3 linked regions of the Caenorhabditis elegans genome follow. The protein of the gene in region 1 purifies or fractionates together with the protein of each later gene. This does not show direct contact. Each region holds a gene or a part of one and is shown in the gene's direction. Other genes may lie near its edges.

What was found.
Region 2: the proteins of sacm-1L (region 1) and arf-6 purify together in Caenorhabditis elegans (affinity purification with western blotting, with the first as the bait; one study listed by BioGRID). This does not show direct contact.
Region 3: the proteins of sacm-1L (region 1) and bris-1 purify together in Caenorhabditis elegans (affinity purification with western blotting, with the first as the bait; one study listed by BioGRID). This does not show direct contact.

The regions. Positions count from the first base shown.
Region 1 is NC_003279.8:9,484,016-9,493,120, forward strand, and holds sacm-1L (Phosphatidylinositol-3-phosphatase SAC1), read left to right. Parts: upstream 1-4,472; 5' UTR 4,473-4,481; coding exon 4,482-4,638; intron 4,639-4,685; coding exon 4,686-5,220; intron 5,221-5,459; coding exon 5,460-6,130; intron 6,131-7,971; coding exon 7,972-8,295; intron 8,296-8,373; coding exon 8,374-8,483; 3' UTR 8,484-8,605; downstream 8,606-9,105. Other genes in the region: gly-21 (GLYcosylation related), read left to right, coding at 57-176, 396-496, 545-1,010, 1,085-1,238, 1,675-1,820, 1,864-1,973, 2,175-2,305, 2,350-2,525; Stomatin-like protein stl-1, read right to left, coding at 2,801-3,125, 3,207-3,514, 3,579-3,737, 3,780-3,915, 3,965-4,011; F30A10.3 (Kinase), read right to left, coding at 8,928-8,972, 9,020-9,100.
Region 2 is NC_003282.8:16,943,857-16,951,347, forward strand, and holds arf-6 (ADP-ribosylation factor 6), read left to right. Parts: upstream 1-3,263; 5' UTR 3,264-3,271; coding exon 3,272-3,353; intron 3,354-3,420; coding exon 3,421-3,524; intron 3,525-3,614; coding exon 3,615-3,712; intron 3,713-3,795; coding exon 3,796-3,896; intron 3,897-4,116; coding exon 4,117-4,177; intron 4,178-5,523; coding exon 5,524-5,605; 3' UTR 5,606-5,878; downstream 5,879-7,491. Other genes in the region: Y116A8C.9 (Transmembrane protein 185B), read right to left, coding at 228-398, 977-1,174, 2,460-2,556, 2,618-2,716, 2,769-2,846, 2,898-2,944; rad-54.B (DNA repair and recombination protein RAD54-like), read left to right, coding at 6,211-6,253.
Region 3 is NC_003282.8:3,815,046-3,822,447, reverse strand, and holds the start of bris-1 (SEC7 domain-containing protein), read left to right. Parts: upstream 1-3,119; 5' UTR 3,120-3,124; coding exon 3,125-3,348; intron 3,349-5,115; coding exon 5,116-5,184; intron 5,185-6,993; exon of another isoform or gene 6,994-7,080; coding exon of another isoform or gene 7,081-7,136; intron 7,137-7,217; coding exon 7,218-7,345; intron 7,346-7,402.

The DNA.
Region 1 (9,105 bases):
TTAAAATTTTTTGAGCGATCAAGCTTTTCGCATGTTGAAAATGCATTTCTTTCCAGAATACGGACGAATCTCTGAAGAAGTTTCAGGAGCCAAAATGGTCAATTCGAATATTTATTTTTATAGCTCTTTTAATTTCTTTTTCAATTTTACTAACAGTTTCCTACAAATCAATGATGGTAAGTAAAATAAATAAATAAAACTTGGAAAAATCAGAACTTTTCGATATTTTCCAAAATAAACTTCACTAAAACGTAGGCTGAAAATCAGAAAAAATATCTGAAAAATAATAAAAAATTTTGAAATTAAAGTTCTTGTGTCCACCAATTAGCAATGTTAGCCACGCCCCGCGAACCACTGATTGACCGATTTCTTTCTCATAATTTCATAAATTTCAGATTCCGAACAAATTTATCGTGAGATTATCTGGAAAAGAGCGCGCTCCTCTGAAGCATATAACAAGAAGCATCACGAAATTCGCAGATTATTATTTTACAGAGTATGCAAAACCTACTTATGTTTTGAAATTAAAAAAAAAACTATTCAGATCTGAAAGTCGATATTTAAATTGTGCTAGACTAATCGACGGAGATGTGGAGTCCATTGACACATATGTTAATAATGGAAGAATGAAGTTAGATGAAGAGAAATTATTTCAACTTTCAATGGATTGTGATTCAATTCAAAATCGTATTTTTCGAGATATGCCTCCATTTGAAAAATTGAAAAGACCTATTGCATTTGTTCGAAATATCTATGGAATATATGAATTACAAGAGGTTTTTCTATCCATTTCATATCACCCGGATAACTATTTCTGTTATGCAATGGATTCAAAAAGTAGTGAAAAATTGAAGAAATCTATGAGAATAATGGCTGATTGCTTTGAAAATGTGATTGTGTTGGATAAAGAATATGATATGGATAGAGCTGGTCATAAACAAGATGCTGCACATTTTGATTGTTTAAAACAAATTCTTGATGAACATTGGAGTCATGCCATTACATTACAGGTAAAAAAATATTTTCTTGAAATTCTGAATTGTTCTTCTTTTCAGTTTTCTTTCTTTAAAAATATTATTTTCAGAACTTCGACTTGATAATCAAATCTCCTAAACAACTATCTGATCTCAGTGAAATTCTAAATTACACCAGTATCATGGGTTTTGACTATGGATTTACAAGTAGATATCGAACATTTGAAGATTGGACTCCAGCTGGAATGAAACTTTTCAAAAATGGTTTTCCTTTTTTCATGTGGGCTTATAATTTTGATAGACTACATTTATTCATATAGAGAATAGTACAAAATAGAGATGAGAAAACATTTCCTAAAAGTACCAAAACTTCTTTGAGCCGACTGAATTATTTCTTAAAAATAAAAAAATAAATTTTAAAAAACCATTCCAAAGGCTGATGCCGCCTAGACTTTTATGCTTTTTTTCTTTTTGCACATTACTTAAATTTTAGGATTTATAGTGCAAAACGTCTTTAATTAAACCAGTCTCACAAAAAGTACAAAATATTTTCTAATCGAACAGCACGAACAGGTTTGCGTCTTTAAGGTCCTGTAGACTTGAGATGCTACAGTACTCCTTGCTTGGAGGCCTTTGAGACGAGGTGCCGCATTCTTATATCGAAAAATTACATGACAGAGTAACATAATTTTATTTTCAGAACAAAGTGTACCTCTGGAAATACTCCACAAAAAACTAAAAATTCGAAAAAGTTTAAACGAAGTAATCCTTTCGAAGGTATTTGTCAAGTCTTTATTTGATAAAGTGAATCTGCAAAATGTAATCAAAAGATTTGATGATAGAACGGTAATGTTCTACTCTTGAAAACGAGAATAATATTCAATTTCAGCTTTTTGGGGTTGACGAAATGATGGTTATGACACTTTTTGAAAACTATTTGGGATTAGATGGGCAAATGGAATCTAATTGTACCGTGGCAAAGGAAGATATATTAACACGGTTTGTATAGGATAGGCATGCCTTCATTTGTTTGTGCCTGCCTACCTCATGTCTGCATGTCACCTATTTTTTTGCTCTTTATTTGACTCTCTTGAAAATTCTAATGATAATAATTTCCAAGTGTACCAAGTGCAGAATCAGGCTCGTGTAGGTCACCTTGAAGGCAGGCTTACATTGCAAATAGAAAACTGAAAATTACAGTCAAACTCATTGGCATCTTGAACAATCCGACGGACTATATCAAGATTGTAAATCCAAGTGGTTAAGGCATTCAATATGTGTAATTGGAGTCGAATTTCTACAAGAACTTTCAAAAAGTCCGATGGTTATTGGTGATTTTTGAACATTCATGTTTATAAATAAATTGATTTTTCAGCAAACAAAGTGACCGCCAACTTCGATTTTGGAACGATAATTTGCGTTCGTGAAATGATAAAAACCAATAAAACAGGAAATAATCCAGATTCTCAATGGCTTTCCTACTTTCCACAGTTTCGTGAGATGTTGTTGAAAGCTAATGGAACTTATTACAAGAATAGTTTTCAATGTTGATCAAGTTTTTTAAAGAAAATTTTGTTTATTATTTTCAAATTTTTCACTAAACAGTTTTCCTCTGAAAATCATGTTATCTGCATTTTAAATTGAATTCAAATGAAAATTCAACTAATTCATCTGCTGAAAATTTAGAATAACGAACAATCAAGAGATTTTTGAAAAGATGATGTAAAATTACATTCAAATACCAGTAAACCAAAATTTAGAAACAGGGAAATATGAAAATGGAGAAACGGAAACTACGCTTGCACATAAACTCAAACAAAACATTTTCACTTTTTCTTATTGCTCAATGAGTCGTAAACAGCAAGTGCTTGAGAAACCATACTTCCTGGATCACTGAGATTTGCCGGAAGAACAACAGTATTTGATTCCTTGGCAAGATTTCCAAAAGCTCCAACATATTGCTCTGCAACGGTCAATCCAGCAGCATTTGCACCTCCATCTTTCTCAAGAGCCAATGCAATACGTTCAATAGCTTTGGCACGAGATTCGGCTTTAAGGATTACTGCTTCTGCTTCTCCCTTTGCTACATTGATACGTTCGGCTTGAACAGCCTCAGACGCCAAAATAGCTGATTTCTTGTCTCCTTCGGCCCTGGAAATGTTTAAATTTAGAATATTTTTACAACTCTCACGATGTTACTGAATGAAATGTGTAATTGGAAAAATATTATACCTATTAATGGCAGCTTCTCTGATTCCTTCTGATTCCAAAATCGCGGCTCTTTTCTTTCTCTCAGCTTCAACTTGCATTTGCATAGCTTCTTGAATTTTTGATGGCATCTGCATATCTCTGATTTCGTATCGCATACATTGAATTCCCCAAGGTGCTGATGCTTTGTTGATTGCAAATACAATATTTTCATTGAGCAATTCCCTCTCCTTGAATACTGTATCCAAATTGATTTTTCCAACTTCACTTCTCATCGTTGTCTGCGCTAATTGAGTTACTGCGAATTCTGGGTCATCGACTCCGTACGATGCCTGCAATTTACAAAGAAGTGTTATTTTTCAATTACAGGCGAATCAAAAAACAGGCGTCACATGCCTTGTAGGGATCGAAAACACGCAAATAAAGAACTCCGTCGAGCCTGAGTTGTACATTGTCAATTGTAATGGCTCCTTGCTCAGGAATCTCAATTGCAATTTCACGAAGATTTTGAACGAATTTGATTTTATCAATGATAGGCAATAAGAAGTTGAGTCCCTGAAAAAGTTGGTTTATTAATTACCTTTTAGGAAATGTTACCGGTTCAAGAATCTTGTAGAACTTTCCCATTCTTTCTACAACCCACGCTTCTTGCTGTGGAACAAAATTGATGACAGTATTATGTGCAGCATGGGCCTGTCGTGATGATGTCACAGCTAATGGGAGCGTTGAACTTCTAAATAATATAATTGCCCCCCTCACAATAATTTAATTTATCGGCCTACCTTAGAAGAGCTGACGAATTCATTAAAAGTCGATTAGTTAGCGCCATTTTCTGTAAAATCATTTTTAATGATGCAATGCAATTTCGAAAGATTCAGCAGTTTAAATAATGTATTAGTGGGAGGAGGATGGCAGAAAAGTATTTCGTCATGGTGGTGGCCGAGTGGGAGAGATAGATTAAAAATATGCACATTTACATCAGGACTGAGAGATTTTAATATAAACACCACTATTCTTCAATTTTTAAGAAACGAAACGTTCACAAAGTATAAAAATATAAAGAATAAAAATACAATTAATTTAAAATAATGTCTGTGTAGATTTACGGTAAACAACGCTCCCATATGAAAGACGGAGTGTCGTCACCCGTTTCCACGTTTTCGCATTCAAAGAAAACATGTTTCATGTATTCTATCACTATTGTTGTATCTCTTATTGATTTTTTTGTTTTCATGCGTCGTTCTTCTTTTTCATATTTTTTTTCCACAACAAACTTCATTCCCTTTTCAGCTCTCCAAAATGGTGGATAGTCTATTGAGTATGGACATCTACGAGAGTTTCAACTTGTACTCACACCCAGAAAAATTCTTCTTAGAACCAACCGATCTCGGCGGTGGTGCTGCGTCGAAACATTATCTCGAAATCGATAGACACACAAATGTGATGAAAATTATTGGTAAGTCTGACTTTTGGTCTGATCTAAATATAAATTTATAATTACAGATTCACGCAAGCAGCGAGTTCCAATTGCTGATACGGACATCAAGTTTATTTATGGGATTTTGGGAACAATTAAACTAGTCTCAGGATATGCTTTGATCGTAATAACAAAGGCTTCTTTGATCGGACAAGTTAATAATCACAACATCTGGACTATTCAAGATGCCGAGATTATTCCTTACAAGAAAACAACACTTCACTTGACTGAGAAACAAATTAGATATAATAGATTATTCACTGATATGCTCACTCATGTGCTGTCTATTGGCGGATTCTACTACTCGACGACTCTTGACATCTCACGCACATTTCAATGGCTTCAGGAGAACGCTGTTCCTTTGTTCAAAACAAGAAGTATGTTGGACAGAGCCAGCGAACGTTTCATATGGAATGGACATCTACTGTCACAGATCCGGCAGGTCCCTGGTGCAGAAAGATACACATTGCCCGTTATTCATGGTTTTATTGGCCAGAATCGTGTGAATGTGAATGGAAAAGAGATTAAATTGACTATCATATCCAGAAGAAGCATTTATCGGTAATTTTTTTTACTTAAAAATGTTTTAAATAAATTTGTAATAATTAAAAAAACGTTTATTTCGATTTTCTGGACAAAAAATTAATACTTCTAACAACGAGCTCGCTTTTCACAAAAATGTTTTGTCTGAATCCAAGATATATTAGTTTTAAATAATTATTAACCTTTTTAGTACGAATTTCATGTTTTTTCATAGTTTTCTCTGAAAAAAAAACTATTAGTATAATTCAATTTTTCAGTGCTGGCGTCCGTTTCTATAAACGTGGAGTCGACGTAGATGGTCATGCAGCAAACTTTGTTGAAACAGAACAAATCGTTGAATACACGAATCCTGACAAGCACCTGACTTCGTTTGTGCAATTGAGAGGTTCTATTCCTCTTCTCTGGACTCAAAAACCAAATCTACGTTGGCAACCGATGCCTACACTGAAACCAACAGATGACCAGCTTGCTGCTTTCAATCGAGCTTTTTCGTGGCACAAGCAACACTATGGTGGTAAACATGTGATTGTAAATCTTGTAAATCAAAAAGGAAGAGAGAAAAAAGTTGGAGGAGAACTGGAGAGAATATCACGACAAGCAAATATCGAATTTGTTCGTTACCATCAATTTGATTTTCACAAAGAATGTCATTCTATGCAATGGCACCGAATTGATTTGTTGCGGGAGCAGTTAAGCCAAGAAATTTCGAGTTTTGGATATTTTTACTTGTCCCCGAATAGTATGGAAACAAGTCGATTCCAACGTGGATTTTTCCGTACGAATTGCATGGATTGTCTAGATCGTACCAATGTGGTTCAGTCGATGTTGGCACGTGAATCACTCACCGAACAACTTCGAATGCTTGGAATTTTATATTCAGAGCAGAAAGTTCAAGATATTCCACTTCTTGAAGATGCATTCAAACAAAGTGAGTTTAATCAAAGTTATTTTTTTGAAAAACGAAAATCGTTTGAAATCGAAGGTTGATTTTTTAGAAGATCAATAACTGACAATGAAAAAAATATGTAAAGTTTACAACTTTATTCCAAAAAAACTCAATATTTTGATCTGAATTCGCAGATTCATGAGTGTGTCAGTATATCAATCATTTTCGCTCACTTATTTTTCAAAAAAAAATGGGCAAATACTGTTTTACTACTTGATTTTTTACTACGTATCTCTTTTACTACAAGATCTCTTTTACTACGGAATCTCTTTTACTACGAATTCCGCATTTAGATCTTTCACTACAATTGGCTCTTTCACTACGTGTTCTCTTTTACTACGATTTGATCACATAGATCTTTTACTACGGAAAACACTTTTTTACTACCTTATCTTTTACTACGTGGATGTTTTACTACGTTTTACTCTTTTGCTACGGACATATTTTTACTACGTGGAGGGGTACTGTTAGGTTACTGTAGTGGTATTGTGTAAATAACAGTTTTCAGATTATATACTATAGTTTTTTTTAATTGCTAGAAATATATTCACTAGGAAAAATTTTTTACTAAATACAATGGCAGGGATTATATTTTTAACTATGTTGCGTAATTTTTACTACGAATTAATAATCAATATTTATAGTATAAGCTAGATATAAACAAATGCATGAATATTTTCTAAAAATATATAGGTCACAATTGAAGTTTGTGCTCAAGTAGTTCTAGTAAATTTCAGTTTTTTTGGATACTGAGATTGAGTTAGTGGAGGGATCCTGTTGAGTTACTGTAGTGATACTGTTGTTGGAGTACTTAACTTTTTTCGCGTAACCAAAAAATTAGTTCCATACCGGTTGATGTATAAGTTTTAAAAATGTAATAAACAACTTGCGGTTCGGTCAGTTATCTGTCAGATGTTTGAAATTTTGACTTCAACTGAAATTTTGGAACTTTTGATCAAAAATTTGTTTTTTTCTGGATTTATCAAATCTTGTATAAAATAAGCAGTTTATTGTTTTCTATCATCTTGAATGTTCATATCACGATTTTAGATTAAAACAACAGAGATAAGTTACCGAAAGTGTGTTCACAAAACTTATTGACTCCGAGTACCGATAACTCCGCGAAAAGAATTTGGTAAAAAATGTTCAACTGACAAATTGTAGACCATGCTATATTCAACAACTTTGTAGTTGAAATCTTTTTGACACGACCGAGATAAGAGTGTTTAGCGAGACTGCATTCTCAAACGTATCGGACCTACATTTTTCTTTTTCAGAAAATCTTTTGAGAAACATTTATAGAGGATTTTGCAAATGTCATGAATGTTTCTGGAATTTTTACAAGTTTTACAAGAGAGCAAGCTCATTTCATAGTGAATAAATTTCTACAGTAACCTAACAGTATCCCTCCACGTAGTAAAAATATGTCCGTAGCAAAAGAGTAAAACGTAGTAAAACATCCACGTAGTAAAAGATAAGGTAGTAAAAAAGTGTTTTCCGTAGTAAAAGATCTATGTGATCAAATCGTAGTAAAAGAGAACACGTAGTAAAAGAGCCAATTGTAGTAAAAGATCTAAATGCGGAATTCGTAGTAAAAGAGATTCCGTAGTAAAAGAGATCTTGTAGTAAAAGAGATACGTAGTAAAAAATCAAGTAGTAAAACAGTATTTGCCAAAAAAAAATGCAAAAAATAACATTATTGCCACAAACACGAAAAAAAACCAAAAAATGGAAAATCTACACCCCTGGTCATCTTGTCAGAGCATAGATTATTTTAAAGTATAGTTTCAAATACCAATTACTTCTATTGAAATATGTTTCAGTGTGGGCAGATAATGGTGATGAATGTAGTCGTCAATATGCTGGAACAGGCGCATTGAAAGCAGATTTCACTCGTCACGGAAGACGGACATATGTTGGAGCAATGAAAGACGGTGTCAATGCAGTGTCCCGTTACGTACGAAATAATTTTGGAGATGGATACCGTCAAGATTCAATTGATCTCTTCCTTGGTAACTTCCTAGTCGATTCGTCAGATCTTCCTGTTTCGCTGGAATCTTCGATTCTATCAACGGATCAGAATGGTCTTGCCCTTATTGCCGCGTTGTTTGCCATGTCAATGACAATTCTTTGTCTTTTGGTTGCAGGTACTATATTAATCACTTACTATTGCACACGATACTCGATAATATTCCGAATCCTTCAAAAAAAAAACATTTTTTCAGACAACTTCACCGCAACAATCTTCTGGATGGTCATTTTCTTTGTCTGTATGATGTTCATATTTTTGAACGGCGAAGAATTTGTAAATGCTCCGAAGCTCAAACTGGACTAATGCCATATCTGTCCGAAAACCGTTCATTCCTACAATCAAAGTTGCACCCCTTTTTTGTGTATTTATTTTTTCGCGTTGTAGAAAGAGAGAGTTTATTTATTGTAGATGAAGTTTGTACTAACAAGTTTATTATGCAGAGAGAACAACTATTTTCAGTAATACATTTTTGGCACTGTAACACAGTCAAATTTCTTTGGTTTTGTTCTTCAACACACATTATGAAGTGTGAAGAAAAAACAAAAATAAAAATTGAATGAGACCCATTTGGTAGGGGGGAGAGAACGAAACGACGCAGAGAAGAAAGATGGGTAAGATGCAGAGGAAATGAATTGACTGGGATCAGATGGGAATGATACAAACGGGAGGAGTTTTACATCGGGAGGATGTCATTAAAAGTTGACGGAAAAAAGTGATAAAATATACTTTAAATATTCAGGAACATTTCTACTTTTTCTTCTCGAATGATGAAGATGGTGTCACGGGATCTTTCTGAATAATACAAATAGATTTAGTTGATACTAAAATTGAATTCTCACCGAAACAATAGGTTCCATAGCTTCAACAATACTATCAAGACCAAGAAGGCATCCTTCGTCGGCACCAGAATATGCAAGATCCTAAA
Region 2 (7,491 bases), on another chromosome or scaffold:
TAGTAGAAAAAAAAAGAACCAAGAAGTGAGCGGAGCCTATTTTGGGATCGTAGTTATCGGAGAAGCGAATCTATGGGAATTTTTCACTCAAAACTGGCTTTTTTAATTGTTAAACGTGAAATAGTAGAAAAAAAAAGAACCAAGAAGTGAGCGGAGCCTATGTTGGGATCGTAGTTATCGGAGAAGCGAATCTATGGCAATTTTTAGCTGAAATTAGCTCAACTCACGAAAAACGTGTGTAAAATCGCAGAATAAACGTGTTGGCGACGGTGAGCCGGAATGAAATGACGAGATCTGATGAGCACAACGGAGAGCACAAGAGCGTAGAGAACACCGACAGCGGCAAGGGAAAGGACCACCCATAGAGGTATGAATACGACTGCCCATGTCCAATCGACCTGCAAAAATTTGGGAAATGTTGATTATTTTAGGTAATTTTGGGGTTTTTGTGATTTTTTTTTAATAGAAAAAAATGGATTTTTTTTAGGCCAAGAAGTAGGCGGAGCTAATATGTGTGATAAATTCCCATAGATTCGCTTCTCCGGAATTATCATCTCCATTTAGGCTCCGCCCACTTCTTTATTCCGTTTTCTACAGTTTTAAATGAAAATATCCGCAAGCTAAGAAGTGGGCGGAGCCAATATTAGTGAAAAATTCTCATAGATTCACTTCTCCTAAACCGGAATCCCCATTTAGTCCCCGCCCACTTCTTGGATCCGTTTCTACAGTTTTAAATTAAAATTCCCAACAGCCAAGAACTGGGCGGTGCCAATATGAGTGAACATTTCCCATAGATTCGTTTCTCCGGAACCAGAATCTCCTGTTGGGCTCCGTACACTTTTTGGTTTTGCTGTGATTTTAACCAAAAAAGTGGATTTTTGGAGGTTTTTAAGCGAATTTTTTGGGTTTTCTAGTGATTTTTGTACTAAAAATTCAAAATTTTCACTGGAAAAGTCATTTTTCCTCGATTTTTTACCTGTTTATCCAGCTTGAAAGCGATAAAAACCAGCTGAACAATATTAATTGCGTAGAAAAATTCAAATTCGAATGGTTTATCATGCCGGAGGGACCATATAGCTATTCCAATTGATAATATTGATAAAGAGAATAATGGACAGAATACAATTGTCCATGGAAGTGGATATCCTGGTTCGAAGAGATAATCGAATTCTAGCTGGAAAACAAAATACGGGTTTTGGAGGGAAAAATGAACGGAAAATTTGGATTTTTGGCATTTTTTGGGGTAAAAAAGACTAAAAAACTAGATTTTTGGGCTAAAATACACCAAAAATCTAGATTTTTCTAGTTTTTTGGGTTAAAATACATAAAAATCTGGATTTTTAGCTGTTTTTAGAGTAAAAAAGACAACAAACTGGATTTTTTGCAGTTATTAGGGTAAAATGACCTGAAAATTTGAATTTTTGGCATTTTTTGGGGTAAAAAAGACTAAAAAACTAGATTTTTGGGCTAAAATACACCAAAAATCTAGATTTTTCTAGTTTTTTGGGTTAAAATACATAAAAATCTGGATTTTTAGCTGTTTTTAGAGTAAAAAAGACAACAAACTGGATTTTTTGCAGTTACTAGGGTAAAATGACCTGAGAATTTGGATTTTTGGCATTTTTTGGGGTAAAACAGACTAAAAAACCAGATTTTTGGGCTAAAATACACCAAAAATCTAGATTTTTAGCTGTTTTTAGAGTAAAAAAGACAACAAACTGGATTTTTTGCTGTTATTAGGGTAAAATTACCTGAAAATTTGGATTTTTGGGATTTTTTGGGGTAAAAAAGACTAAAAAACTAGATTTTTTTTGGGCTAAAATACATAAAAATCTGGATTTTTACGATTTTTTTAAAGTAAAAAAGTCCAAAAATTTTGATTTTTTCCATTTTTTAAGGTTAAAATATCGAAAAAAATAGATTTTTTTTTGTTTTTTGGGTAAAAACACCTCAAAATCTGGATTTTTTGAATATTTTAAAATAGAAAACCTTTTTTTATCGATTTTTTCAATAAAAAATTGGGCAAATTTGTGATTTTAAAGTTGAAAAATTGATTTTTCTTCATTTTTTTCATTTTTTCAGTGAAAAAGGAATGAATTTATGAATTTTCGAGTCAAAAACTGTAGAAAAATCGATTTTTCAGCTACTTTATTGAGCTTTGCTCTAAAAAATGAAGATTTTTCACTTTTTTTTCAAGCAAAATGGTCAGAAAATGTAGTTTTTTGGCTTGAAAAGGGTTATTTTTACACATTTTTGACCCATTTTATCGATTATTAAGGTCAAAACAAGCAATTTTGACAAAAAATCAAGAAAAAAACGCAATTTTTTCGGCTTTTTCTTGATTTTTGTCCAAAAAATTCGGTTTTTTCGCTGAAAAACTCGCTTTTCCACGTAGAAACTCGATTTTTGGCCATTTTTCTTCATTTTTATCTATTTAAATCCGCTTTTCCATCGTTTACCTTAATAAAAACCAGCGAAACAAATGTACAAAGAAAAATGTGCTCGGTAGCAGTGATTAGCATAGCCGAAAAGTCGACACGCATCACAATTTCGTTTCTGAAATGTCAAATTTCTTTATTTTTTCCACATTTTTCCAGCTTTTTCCAGCTTTTCCCACCTCGACGGTGGTTTTGAGCAAAAAGAGCAAATTCCGACGATGGCTCCGACGAAAACTAGGAGATTACAGGCCCATAGCGGCGCAAAAACGAATGCGTAGCTGGAAAAATCGATTTTTTCGGGAAATTTCTGATATTTTGAGGATTTCCAACCTAAATGAGACTTTTCCATCGAGTTTTAACGTGAATAATGCCGTGAAAATTAGCAGACAAGCGCAGAGAATTACTTTTCTGGAAAAAATTCAGGGTTTCTAGGTGAATTAGCTCGAAAAATAGACTTACGATGCGTTAAACGATCGGAAAAAGACTCCCAGACTTAATTCCACCATTTTTTGTTCAATTTTTAGCAATTTTTCATGATTTTTTCACTGAAAATCTGAAAAAATTGAATAAATCAATAATAAATTCGATTTATTCCACGAAAAATAAAACACGAAAACAATAAATCCCGTGCGCACCACTTGCAAATAGCACGCGCGCCGCTTGCAAAACTGGGCGGAGCCACGCGGAAATTGATTTTTTCTTCCTTTTTCCGCCGTTTTAAAGCGAATTTTCGCGAAAAATGACTCATTTTTGTTGATTTTTCAAGTTTTTTACTCAAAAATCGCACTAATTTCGGTATTTTTTGCCTAAAAATCACATTTTTAGATCGAAAAATGGGTAAATTCCTGTCGAAAATCTTTGGCAAAAAGGAGCTCCGGATATTAATGCTCGGACTCGATGCGGCGGGTAAAACCAGTGAGTTTTTGGCGGAAATTTCGATTTTTACGGCTAGAAATATGGAAAAAATCGATTTTTTTTCCAGCAATTCTGTACAAACTGAAGCTCGGGCAATCAGTGACCACAATTCCGACGGTGGGCTTCAATGTGGAGACTGTCACGTATAAAAATATCAAATTCAACGTTTGGGTGAGTTTTCCGCCCCAAAAACCCTGGATTTTGGCCTAAAAACCCCAGATTTTGGCCTAAAAACCCCCAAAAACCCCAATTTTTCTTCAGGACGTCGGCGGACAGGACAAAATTCGACCCCTCTGGCGACATTATTACACAGGAACTCAGGCGCTCATTTTTGTGATGGACGCCGCTGATAGAGACAGGTTTTTAGGCGAAAAATGCGGAAAAATTGGTTTTTTTCCTGGACAAAATCGATTTTTTCAACGGAAAAATTCGGAATTTTCAGAGTCGACGAGGCGCGAATGGAGCTTCACCGAATAATTAATGATCGGGAAATGAAGGAGGCGATTATTTTGGTTTTTGCCAATAAACAGGATCTTGCCGATGGTTTGTGGCTTTTTTGGCGGAAAATTTGAGCGAAATGAGCGATGCTACACCTAAAACTCGGAAAAAATCGATTTTCAGCTCAAAAATGAGCGATTTTACCCCGAAAAACTCGGAAAAAATCGATTTTTAACCTAAAAACTCGAATTTTCAGCTTTTTTTGCTTAAAAATGCCCGATTTTACTGAAAAAATGGATTTACTCACTAAAAATGCAATTTTCAGCGATGAAACCACACGAAATTCAGGATAAATTGGGATTGACGAGGATTCGAGACAGGAATTGGTAAGAAACATCAAAAACTCGAGGAAAAACTGATTTTTCTGCAAAAATACATCAAAAAACACCCATTTTCTCTCGGAAAATGGGTAGAAAATGCAGATTTTGGTGTAAAAATCAAATTTTTCCGATTATTTCTCACTAAAAATCTCGTTTTTATGCAAAAAATACAATTTTTTTAAATTTTCTCGGAGAAAAAGCATAAAATAGCGATTTTCGCTTAAAATTCCCTCAGTTTCTTCTAAAAAACCTCCAGAAACGAAATTTTTCTTCTTTTTTTTTAACGGAAAACTCTAAAAATTCGCCTTTTTTTCGGTTTTTTCACCAAATAATTCAGATTTTAAGGCATTTTCATCAGTTTTCGCACTAAAAATCCAATTTTCCACCTGACAACGCTCAAAATTAGAAAATTTATCGTTTTAGAGCCATTTTCCATCAAAAAATGCAGTTTTTCAGCATTTTTTCAGTAAAAATTCAATTTTTTCATCAAAGTGCTTGAAAATCGAAAATTTTCCGTTTTTAACCGATTTTCTAACAAAAATTCATATTTTCAACATTTTTTTTTCATTAAAAATTCAATTTTTCCCTTAAAAAACGCCCAAAACTCGTTTTGCCGGCTTTTCCCGTTTTTTCACAAAAAAAAAACCATTTTTCCATTACAAAGTGCTTGAAATTCGAAAATTCTCCGATTTTCGACCAAAAATTCCAGATTTTCAGCTATTTTAAGCCAATTTTTACTCAAAAACTCATATTTTCCACCTGAAAACGCTCAAAATTCAAAAAAAGTTCCTTTTTTTAACCGATTTTCTACAAAAAAAAAGCAGTTTTTCAACAATTTTTCACTAAAAACCCATTTTTCCTTTAAAAAAAATGTTCCAAACTCGAAAATTGTCGGTTTTTGGCCAATTTTCCCAAAAAAAATCGAATTTTTGCAGATTTTCAGCTATTTTCATCCGTTTTTCACGGAAAATCCAATTTTCTCATCAAAAAGTGCTTGAAATTCGAAAATTTCCGTTTTTACACCGATTGTGCACCTAAAATTCCGGATTTTACGGCATTTTCATCAGTTTTTGCACTAAAAAACCCATATTTTCCACCTGAAAACGCTCAAAATTCGAAAAATGTCGATTTTAAACCGATTTTCACCTAAAATTCCGGATTTTCAGCAATTTTTCCACTAAAAAAACCCATTTTTCCTTAAAAAAAAACGCTCCAAACTCGAAAATTGTCGGTTTTAGGCCAATTTTTCACCGAAAAAATTGATTTTTTTCAGATTTTCAATCAAAAACCTTCATTTTTCACCTAAAAATCCACGGATTTTCACCCATAATTTCCAATTAATTTCTTTGCAGGTACGTCCAACCATCATGTGCTTCAACCGGAGACGGCCTACACGAAGGCCTGACGTGGCTAAGCCAGAATTGCAAGCCGTAAAACACATTATCTGAAGAATTTGGAATAAAAAATTCGCGTCTTGCCAAATATTAACAGTATTTTTTTCACTTTTTATCTGCAATTTTTTCTGTTTTAAATTTTTTTTTAATTCAAAAAAAAAAAAATTTTTTTTTCAAAAAATTTTCAATCCCTTAAATTTTAACATTGTGTGTGCCATGCTTATTCCTATTTTCCCTCTCTTTAATTCACAGAAAATACTCGAAAAAAATGCTCAAAATGCTCCCCAAAAAAATAAATTTCCAAAATTTCCCCCCCCCCCCCCCCCCTAGGTGCCCAATTTTCACTTATTTCCCCACTGTTTTTCCCGAGTTCCCCCCCCCCCCCCGAAAAAAAACACTAAAATCACTGCTTTTCTCCCCAATTTTTGCTCCATGACCGAGGTTTTTCTCGGCCGCGGCGACCTCCAATTTTCTCCAAATATATTCGCTGCCATTATCTGTGATTTTATCGTTTTTTATGGAGAAAAATATATTTAAAAAATCGATTTTTTGGCCAATTTTATAGTTGATTTTCTTTAGGACGAAATATTTTTTGCTGCCAGATTTTCAGATTTTTAGGCCAAAAATTTAAATTTAATATTTCAGATGTCCCGAGTGGTTCTCAACGTGGATAGTTATGAGGGAAATGGTAGGCGCCTACGCCTATAGGCTGAAAATTTCTGAAAAATTGGCATTTTTGGCTGAAAAATTCGAAAAAAAAACGACCAAAAATGGTTGGAATCTGAAATCCACCATTAAAGGGGCGGAGCTTAGCCGGACAATTTTTTAGGGAACGCATATCGCCGGGAATCGAATCTATGTACAATTTCTACAAAAAGCCAATAAATGGGCGGAGCAATGCCACGCCCATTTTCCCGGGGCTCGCAACGAATTTGTTTCCGTAGATCGTGTTCTTCCAAAAAAAAAATCTTCCAGAAATTGAAGCCCCGCCCACAAAATGGCAGGTTCACGATCTACCAAGAAATGGGCGTGCCCTACTAAGCTCCTCCCACTTTCGCTGCAAAAATCGTGATATCCGAATATTTTTCGGAAAAAATCCCGAAATTGACGCTCCGCCCACAAAATGGTCGGTCCGTGATCTACCAAGAAATGAGCGTGTTCAGACATGCTCCGCCCATTTAAGGGGCGTGGTGTATTACGTCCCACCCACTTTCCCGGGACTCGCAACGAATTTATGCCCGTAGATCGTGTTCTTCAAAATAAAATCTTCCAGAAATTGACGCCCCGCCCACAAATTGGTCGGTCCATGATCTACCAGGAACGGGCGTGGCTTATTATGTCTCGCCCACTTTCGCTGCGAAGATCGTGATCCCCGAATATTTTTCGGGAAAACAATTCAGAAAGTTAAGCCCCGCCCACAAAATGGGCCGCCCATGGTCTACCAAGGAGTGGGCGTGCCTTGTTAAGCCCCGCGCAATTTAGGGGCGTGGCGTATTACGCCCCGCCCACTTTTCGGGTCTCGCGACGAAATTGTGACCGCAGATCGTGTTTTTCGAAAAAAAATCTTCCTGGAATTTAAGCCCCGCCCAAAAAAGGGCCGCCCGCGATCTACCAAAAATCCATTTTTTTCAATTTTTTTCAAAAATGGACAAAAATTCGGCAGATCGGAATCTACCGCCCATTTTTCGGGTCTCACAGAGAAAATATATCTCGGAGCCCATCTTTTTCATATTTTTTCAAAAATGGACAAAAATTCGGCAGATCGGAATCTACCAAGAAATGGGCGTGGCTAGGTTTGCCCCGCCCACTTTTGGGTCTTGCGACGAAAATGCGTAAGGCTTTAAGATTACGGGACACATTTTCGTCGCAAGACCCAAAAAATGGGCGGAGCTGAACGAAATATTTATGCTCCGCCTCTTTTGTGGT
Region 3 (7,402 bases), on another chromosome or scaffold:
TTTTTTGAAACGGCACTTTTAAAACGTTCTCGACAAAATTTGCAAACTTTCGCCAAGCTTCCTTCAACTTTCGACAGTTTTGGAATTATTTTTGTTTGCTATAATTATTTAAATTTATGAGCATTTCGACTATTTTCGACAGTTTTGCCAAATTTCGCAAAGCTTTCTTCAACTTTCAACAATTTTTGAAAAAAATTTTCAACAATTTATTGCATATTTCTTTGAATTTCTACAATTTAAACAGTTTTTGCCAAACTTTCGACAACTTTCGCCAAAATTCCTTCAAATTTTTCTAACTTTCAATCGCGGTAAGGTATCTGACATCTGTGTCCTTTCGAAAGTAATTGCAAATAACGAAAAAGAGTGATAAAACACAATGACCACGTCATAAAAATTCCTCTACCATCTCAAATTTCGACATTCCTTCTCGCTTTCTCAGTTACTCACCAAAAAACATACCTTCAGTCAATACATTTTTTGGCTCTTCTTAAAACTTTTTCTCTCACAGAGCTGCAATTTATACGTCTCTGCTCGTTTCCGAGTAGAGCTACTGCATTTTTTGCTGTACGTCTCGTATTTTATCGGGGCGCACCAAAAAGTGTACTAATTCTGCAAAAGAGCACTTGATGTCTTTATGACATTCTCTAGCACAATCTCTCAATTTCACACGCTATCAATTTATGAGGTGAAGCATCTTTTCTCTGCGTTTCCGAGTCTTGCACACTCTCTTACACTTGACGGAGCTCCTTTTCACTCCATTCATATTATATTTTATGTTTCTTGGAAATGCTTCAAACTGTTTTTTTTTTGCAGTTTTACGAAGCTATTTTCTTATCAACTTTTTAGTTTTTTTTCCCTGAAAATCTGAAAAATTTATACTAATTTTCGTCAAGTTTCATCAACTTTCGCCAAATTTCTGACAACTTTCGTCCACTTTTGCCGATTTTTGCCGACCAAAAGCCGATTTTCGGCAAATGTCTAGCAACTGTTGCCAACTGTCGTCAAATTTCGTCTTACTACTCTTGTTAACTTTCGCTTTGCTACTTCCGTCCCACTTCTTGGAACTTTATTTTTCAAATATTTTGTGATTTTTGTTCAGCGTCAGTTCAAGCCGATGTCAAATAGGTCAACTTTTTTCTTGGAAGTTGTCGAAAAAGTTAGGCAAAAAGAAAGAAATATATGAAAAAGAACGGGCAAGTTGTCATCAGACCGCTTTTTGGTCGCCAAATCCCGATATCCCCTTGAGGGGATCATCCCTTCAGTTTTTTGGTTGCTTTTTCAATGTTTTCACTCAACAATTTTTGCTCTTCTTATGGCTTTTTTGGTCTCCCATTCAGTTCCTTTCTTGGAGTTTTTTTTATTAATTTTTTTACAAAACAACTTTTTCGACAACTTTCGGCTACTTTCGACAAATGTCCTTCATCTTCAACTAGTCATCTTGAAATTTTTTAAAACTATTTTTCCCAAATTTCGACAACTTTCACAGGATTTCCTTCAATTTCCGCCAAGTTTTTGCAAAACTGTCGCCTAATTATCGTTAGTTTTCGCCAATTTTTGTCTAATTTCTTACTTTTTTGACAACTTTTGATGAATATCTTTCAACATTCGATCACGTTTACAAAATTTCCTTCGACTTTTTGCCCAACTTCATAGACTTTCTCACAACCTTCGCCAACTCTTGCCAAATCTTCTAGACTTTCGACAACTATCCCTCCACTTTCTATCAACTTTCTTCAAACTTCTTACAACATTCGCCAACGTTTCTAAAATTTTAGTCAACTTTCGCTTTTTTTTCATGTTTCTCACTACTTTTGAGAATTACCAGGCTCTACCCTACTTTAAAAAATCCACTTTTTTTCAAATTTCATATATTTTTTCCTGATAATTGTATATTTCCTCCTCCCCTCTTTTTCATTCTAATTAGCCTCCGCATCGCGGCATCCTTTTTTGGGATTTTCCAGAACAAGCTTTTATTCGAAGACTTGCCTCATTGTTATGCAATCCTGTCCGCTCTCTTCTCTTTTCTTTATCCTCTCGTCTCCATCAATAATCAATTTGATGAGGCTTCTGCTAACTGACCATCTCAAACGACATTTTTTTCTTCTTTTTCTTCCTTTCGAACAAATTGACCTCAACTTGTTTTTTTTTATTTCTCGTCCTTTCAATTCCCTTTTTCCTTGCATTTTCTCCTAGAGAAGTATATCAAATTTCCTTCACTTTTACCTCTATGCTACAACTTTTTTCACTTTTTTTTCACTTTTTTCTCTTTTTGATTCAAATTTATGAGCTTTGCAACTTGCCATCTTGAAACAAAATTAGTTCCGTTTAAAAGTTATTTCCAGTCAAAATGTGCATGTTTTTAATGTTTGGTTTTTGAACAAATGTTATGATATTGAAAAAGTAATTATATACAATTTTCAAAGCGAAATTTCTAGTTTTGACGACTATTTTGTTACCGTATGAGATATTTTTCTGAATGAGCCTTTTTTCCAGAACTTTGAAGCGCCATAACTTTTTTTTTTAATTGCAAAATGTCTCATTACGAAATTTGGTAGTTCTGGGTCATATTGGGTCTACAAAAGCAAACTCTCAAATTTCGGTACTCCACCTTTAATTAGTTTAATTAGTTTAATTAGATATATCAACCTATACTTTTCAACAGTCTTATTGAATTTTGTTTTTTTTTTGCTCAGAATTTTTCGATTTGTAAAAACTCTCAAAAAAAGATTTACAACTATTTTTTCGTCATTTCTTCCTAACAAAAACTTCTTCAATTTCTTATCAAATCAATTAACAGTTCCACGCCCTGTTTTTTCTTCTGTTTCTGCCAGTGACTAACACAAATTCTCTTGGTCGGTGACCAGTTTATTTCCAGCCATCGTCCTTATCATCCCACTTTTTTTCCTCGTAATCGGCTCACTTTATCGATTTTTCCGCATTTTTTTGTCATTTTTTTCAATTGATAACCTTTTCATTCGCAGTTTTTTTTGTTAGAATTCCAGAATTGTTTTTCATTTTTTTAGTATATTCCTCAGCAACACTAGTCCTACATTCTCTCGGAATTTTAATCCGACATAAGAACAAAAGGTTCTGGTTCCGTTAACTTCTGAAAATTCCAGCCCAAATGCGAGAAACAAAAGAATGGCGAGGCACGACGTCGACGAGCCGTGTCTTCGTACAGAAGGGCTATCAATTGTCCGATGAGCTGGCTCTTCGAAAAGTGCAAGTGCTCGAGCGAAGATATGGTGGAATGCAACTGGCTCACAGAGCAGCAACGGTTATACAACGCGCGTGGCGCGAGTACTGTATTATGAAGCAGTGGATGGTGATTCGACATAAACATGATACGTGAGTTGATTTTCGGAAAATCTTCTGAGCTTGATACTTGAAAATCTATAGAAATTGAGCTCAAATATAGCGCATTTATGCGAAATGGTCTCGCCAAGAAAAAATAATGTGAGAAAATATGATAATAAAACTTTTATTTATTTATTTTGGAAAATTTTTATTTTGAATCAAAAAGCGATGAGAGCTCAGTTTTCACCCATTTGTTTGAAGTCGTCAATCAAAAAAAAAATTACATCAAATTTCATGGACTATTCATGATTATAATTATTATTGCCGGCAATTGCCGTTTGGCACATTTTTTTTTTGACGGAAATTTTAATTCCGGCAATTTGCCGATTTTCTGGATAAAAGTGCTATCTCGGCATTCGCCGCCAGATTCTTGCCCATGTTTCACAGCTTTTAATCCAAGTTTCGCCCAAAAAAAATTAACATGGATTAGAAGCTGGCCAAACTTGGGCCACACTTGGGTCAAACTTGGGCGATGCGTCAAAAAAGGAAAAAAAGTCAACCGCTGTGTAGCCCACTCTCACTCAGCCCAAGTTTAGCCCAAGTTTAACCCAAGTTTAGCCCAAGATTCACCTGTATGTTGAACTTCTATCGTTTTTCCCGTTGTGCTGATCTCTTACCTGTTGAGCCATGATGGTCGCGCGAGAATATTTTATTAATTTCAATATTAATATTGCAAACTGTTGTTTCTACCTACGCGTAGCCATTCTCATAGGTTTAGGTTAATTTTCAGTCAGTACTGTATTCGATAATGCTAAATCATAATGAATAAATTTCAGTTTTCTATTGATACCATTTTTCTTCAGAACCCAACTTTCTGAACATTCTATCAAGTATCTAGTGCCGTTGTAAATTCTCGAGGGGTCAGTATTTCAGAAAAGCTTTTCGAGTAGTTCAAAATTTTGATTAAATGATCGGAGAATAACAACTTTTAGCTATCAAAAATTGATTAAAAAAAATTAAACTCAAATTTAATCACAACAGAAAACATTCTTCACGGATTTAAATTAAATTAGCAAAATAATAATGATATTTAAACAGTTCCAATCACAAAATTCCTATTTTTTGTCCGCCGAGGGCGCTGCGGAGGCGCGCCGCGTGTTCAAAGTTGGGCGAGACTTTGGCGAAACTTGGACCTAAGTTTGGCCAAAGTTTGGTGGGATAGTTTGCTTTAGAAAACTTAAACTTCGGTCAGACTTGGGCTAAACTTGGATGAAAAGTTGGCTAAACTTGGGTAAGAAGCTGCTGAGAGCTAAAGTTGGGCAAGAAGCTGCAGGTAAATGCCGAGATAGTTTTTTTTTTCAAAAAATGGCATAAACTCAGTTATTGCCACTTTTTGACAGTCAATAAGAATTTTTCAAAATTGTTTTGAAAAGGTTTAATTACTATGATATTTTTGAGTACTTAATTTAAAAATTTCGACACTGCCACTACTCCACCTTTAAGTTAATCAGTGCTGATACTTTTTGATAATTCCCATGACAGCATCCCTAATTCAAAACCCAATATAATAACTCACACACACAAGTTTTTCCGGAACATTATCACATCACTGTAACCTTTGTCCAAACAAATACGCGACGATGGCAATCTATGTTTTGCCTTGTTTGAAAGCGAAACGCCGCTTCGATTCCTTTCATCTAACTTAATACCTGCTTGCAAAGTGTCTATCGCTCTCTTCATTTCCCCGTAGTCTCTAACTCAATCAAATCAACTGTTCTTCTTCTTCAACAAACAGAACTTTGTTTCTCTTTTTTGCAGAATACCAGACCACCTCGATGCAAGATGCGGAGTGTCAAACAGTCAGCGGAACGAGCTATCACTAACCAGGTTTGAATTTTCTTTCTTTTTCTTTCCATCTCTCTCTCTCTCTCTCTCTATCTACTAAAGTATTTGTTCTTCCCATGAGTGACCAACTGGTACCCGGGGCGGCGTACCTCTAAAAATGACTCAAATCTTGCTATTCTTAGAGATATCTATGTAGTCACTTTTTTATAGCTTCTCATAAAGCGGTATGCTGCGCGAAACCCGAAGCGTAGCGAATTTTATGACAACAATTCTCAGTTGATTTCCTTTTTCTCGCGCCTATCCGTGACGATTCTCACTTTCTCGATTTCAAATCAGCCTATGTTAAGCGGAAAACTTTTTTTCGTTTTGTTTAAAATCATTTAAGAAGGTTTAATGATCTCACAGGCTCTCAACACTTTTATCATATCACGGGAGCAAAAATTGTAAGAATGCGTATTGCGCAACATATCGGACGTGTGAAATATCTCGTAGCGAAAACTACAGTAACTCTTCAAATGACTACTGTAGCGATTGCTTGTGTCGACACGAGGTTCTGGCCTTCCTCGTTGAATTTTTTGCGCTCCATTGGCAATCGCCTTCCGGATAACGCGTGGGAAAGTCGTGTACTCCACACGGACAAATACATATAGTTTTACAACCAAAATCGAGCCGCGACGCGACACGCAATGCGCCGTAAATCTACCCCAGACATGGCCGAGCCGAAATGGCCTAGTTCGGCAAACTCTTCCATTTCATTTTATGGGGGAAGCCAGAAATCCGTGTGTCGATTGATGGGCTCGATTTTCGAAAGGAATTTTTTTCGAATAGTGATTGCGGTGTTCCATTATCGAGAAATAGTAAAAAATTTCGATTTTTGTCCTCTAGCCGACTAAAAAACCCAAAAACAGTATCTCCACGAATTCGCGATTCTTCGATTCTTCGATTCCTCATGACGTATAAGTAAGAAATTGAGCCAATTTTCCTGTTTTTTTTCTATTTCTCTAATCCTGTGTTTCTCTGGACATTGCATTACATTATTATTGTTCGAGCCCACAGCAGCTTCCTCTAGAAAATTTCCTTTTTACATAGGTGAAACGATCCCTTCCGGTTGTTTCGGAGGAGTATTTATTTGGCACACTACAATTTTGCTCCCACACACTTTTTTTTCCGAATTTTTTATATTTTTCTTACGATTTGTACGAATCACACACAAGAGAACGTGTCAAAATGGGACGGATTACAAGCTGACCACACCACCACACAGATAATTTTAGAGGGCTCGGCGAGCTGTCAAAAACCCGAAAATAAACATTTTGTGTGTGTGTGTGTGTCCATGTCGGCCAGCAGCAGACACCCCACAATCATTGGGCTTCTCTTGTGTCGGGGCAAGATATTTTTTATTTGCAGATTTTTGATCCAATTTAGAGTGTTTTCGTACAAATTTTCTAGAACTGACCTAGATTTTTAACGATTTTTGGCCTGAAATTACGTGAAAATCCCCGAATCTAGGTTTTCTGCTTTTTTTTTCCAATTTTACAAACGTTTGTTGCAAAATTGTTTGACATTTAAATATCGTAGTTTTACGCGAAAAACGTTTTTTTCGGAAAAATTCAAGAAATTTTGAAAAAAATTTTAAGAGACACCACGTTTTTTGTGGATTTTCAATTTCGTCGAAACAGAGATTCTAGAGAAAAACTGCAAGTTTTAGAGAAAAACTGCCAATTTTTCTATTTAATTTTTAGAATTTACTATTTTACATTTTCACAATTGTTTATCTTAATTATTAATTTTGAAAAAATTGGTGAAAAAGCAGATTTTTCCGCCGATTTTGTTCCCGGAGAATAAAAAGTTACGATGCAAGCGCGCTCTACTGCTAAACGCATTCTAAGAGGCAATTAAAAAGTTTTAAATGCTTTTCATCACCAAAATTCATTAAAAATGAATTTATTTTACGCAATTCTCGCTATAATCTCAAAGATTTTTAACGCATTAATGTAAGTATCGTCTAAAAACTCAGAATCTCTCTGAAAATTCAATTTTTTCTCAAAAAATTATTAATTTTTAATAATTTTCAGCCGATACGCCACAAGTCTCAGCGCACAGCTCCGGATAGACCGTGCCGCTCGTTCAACAACACTGGACAGAAGTCCGCCGTCACCGGCGCCGCCCGTCTTGGTCAATTTGCAGAATTCGAATATGATTGGTGAGGATCCAGGAGAAGGGAGGAGCCAGAGCTCTGCGGAGCCCGTAATAAACTAAT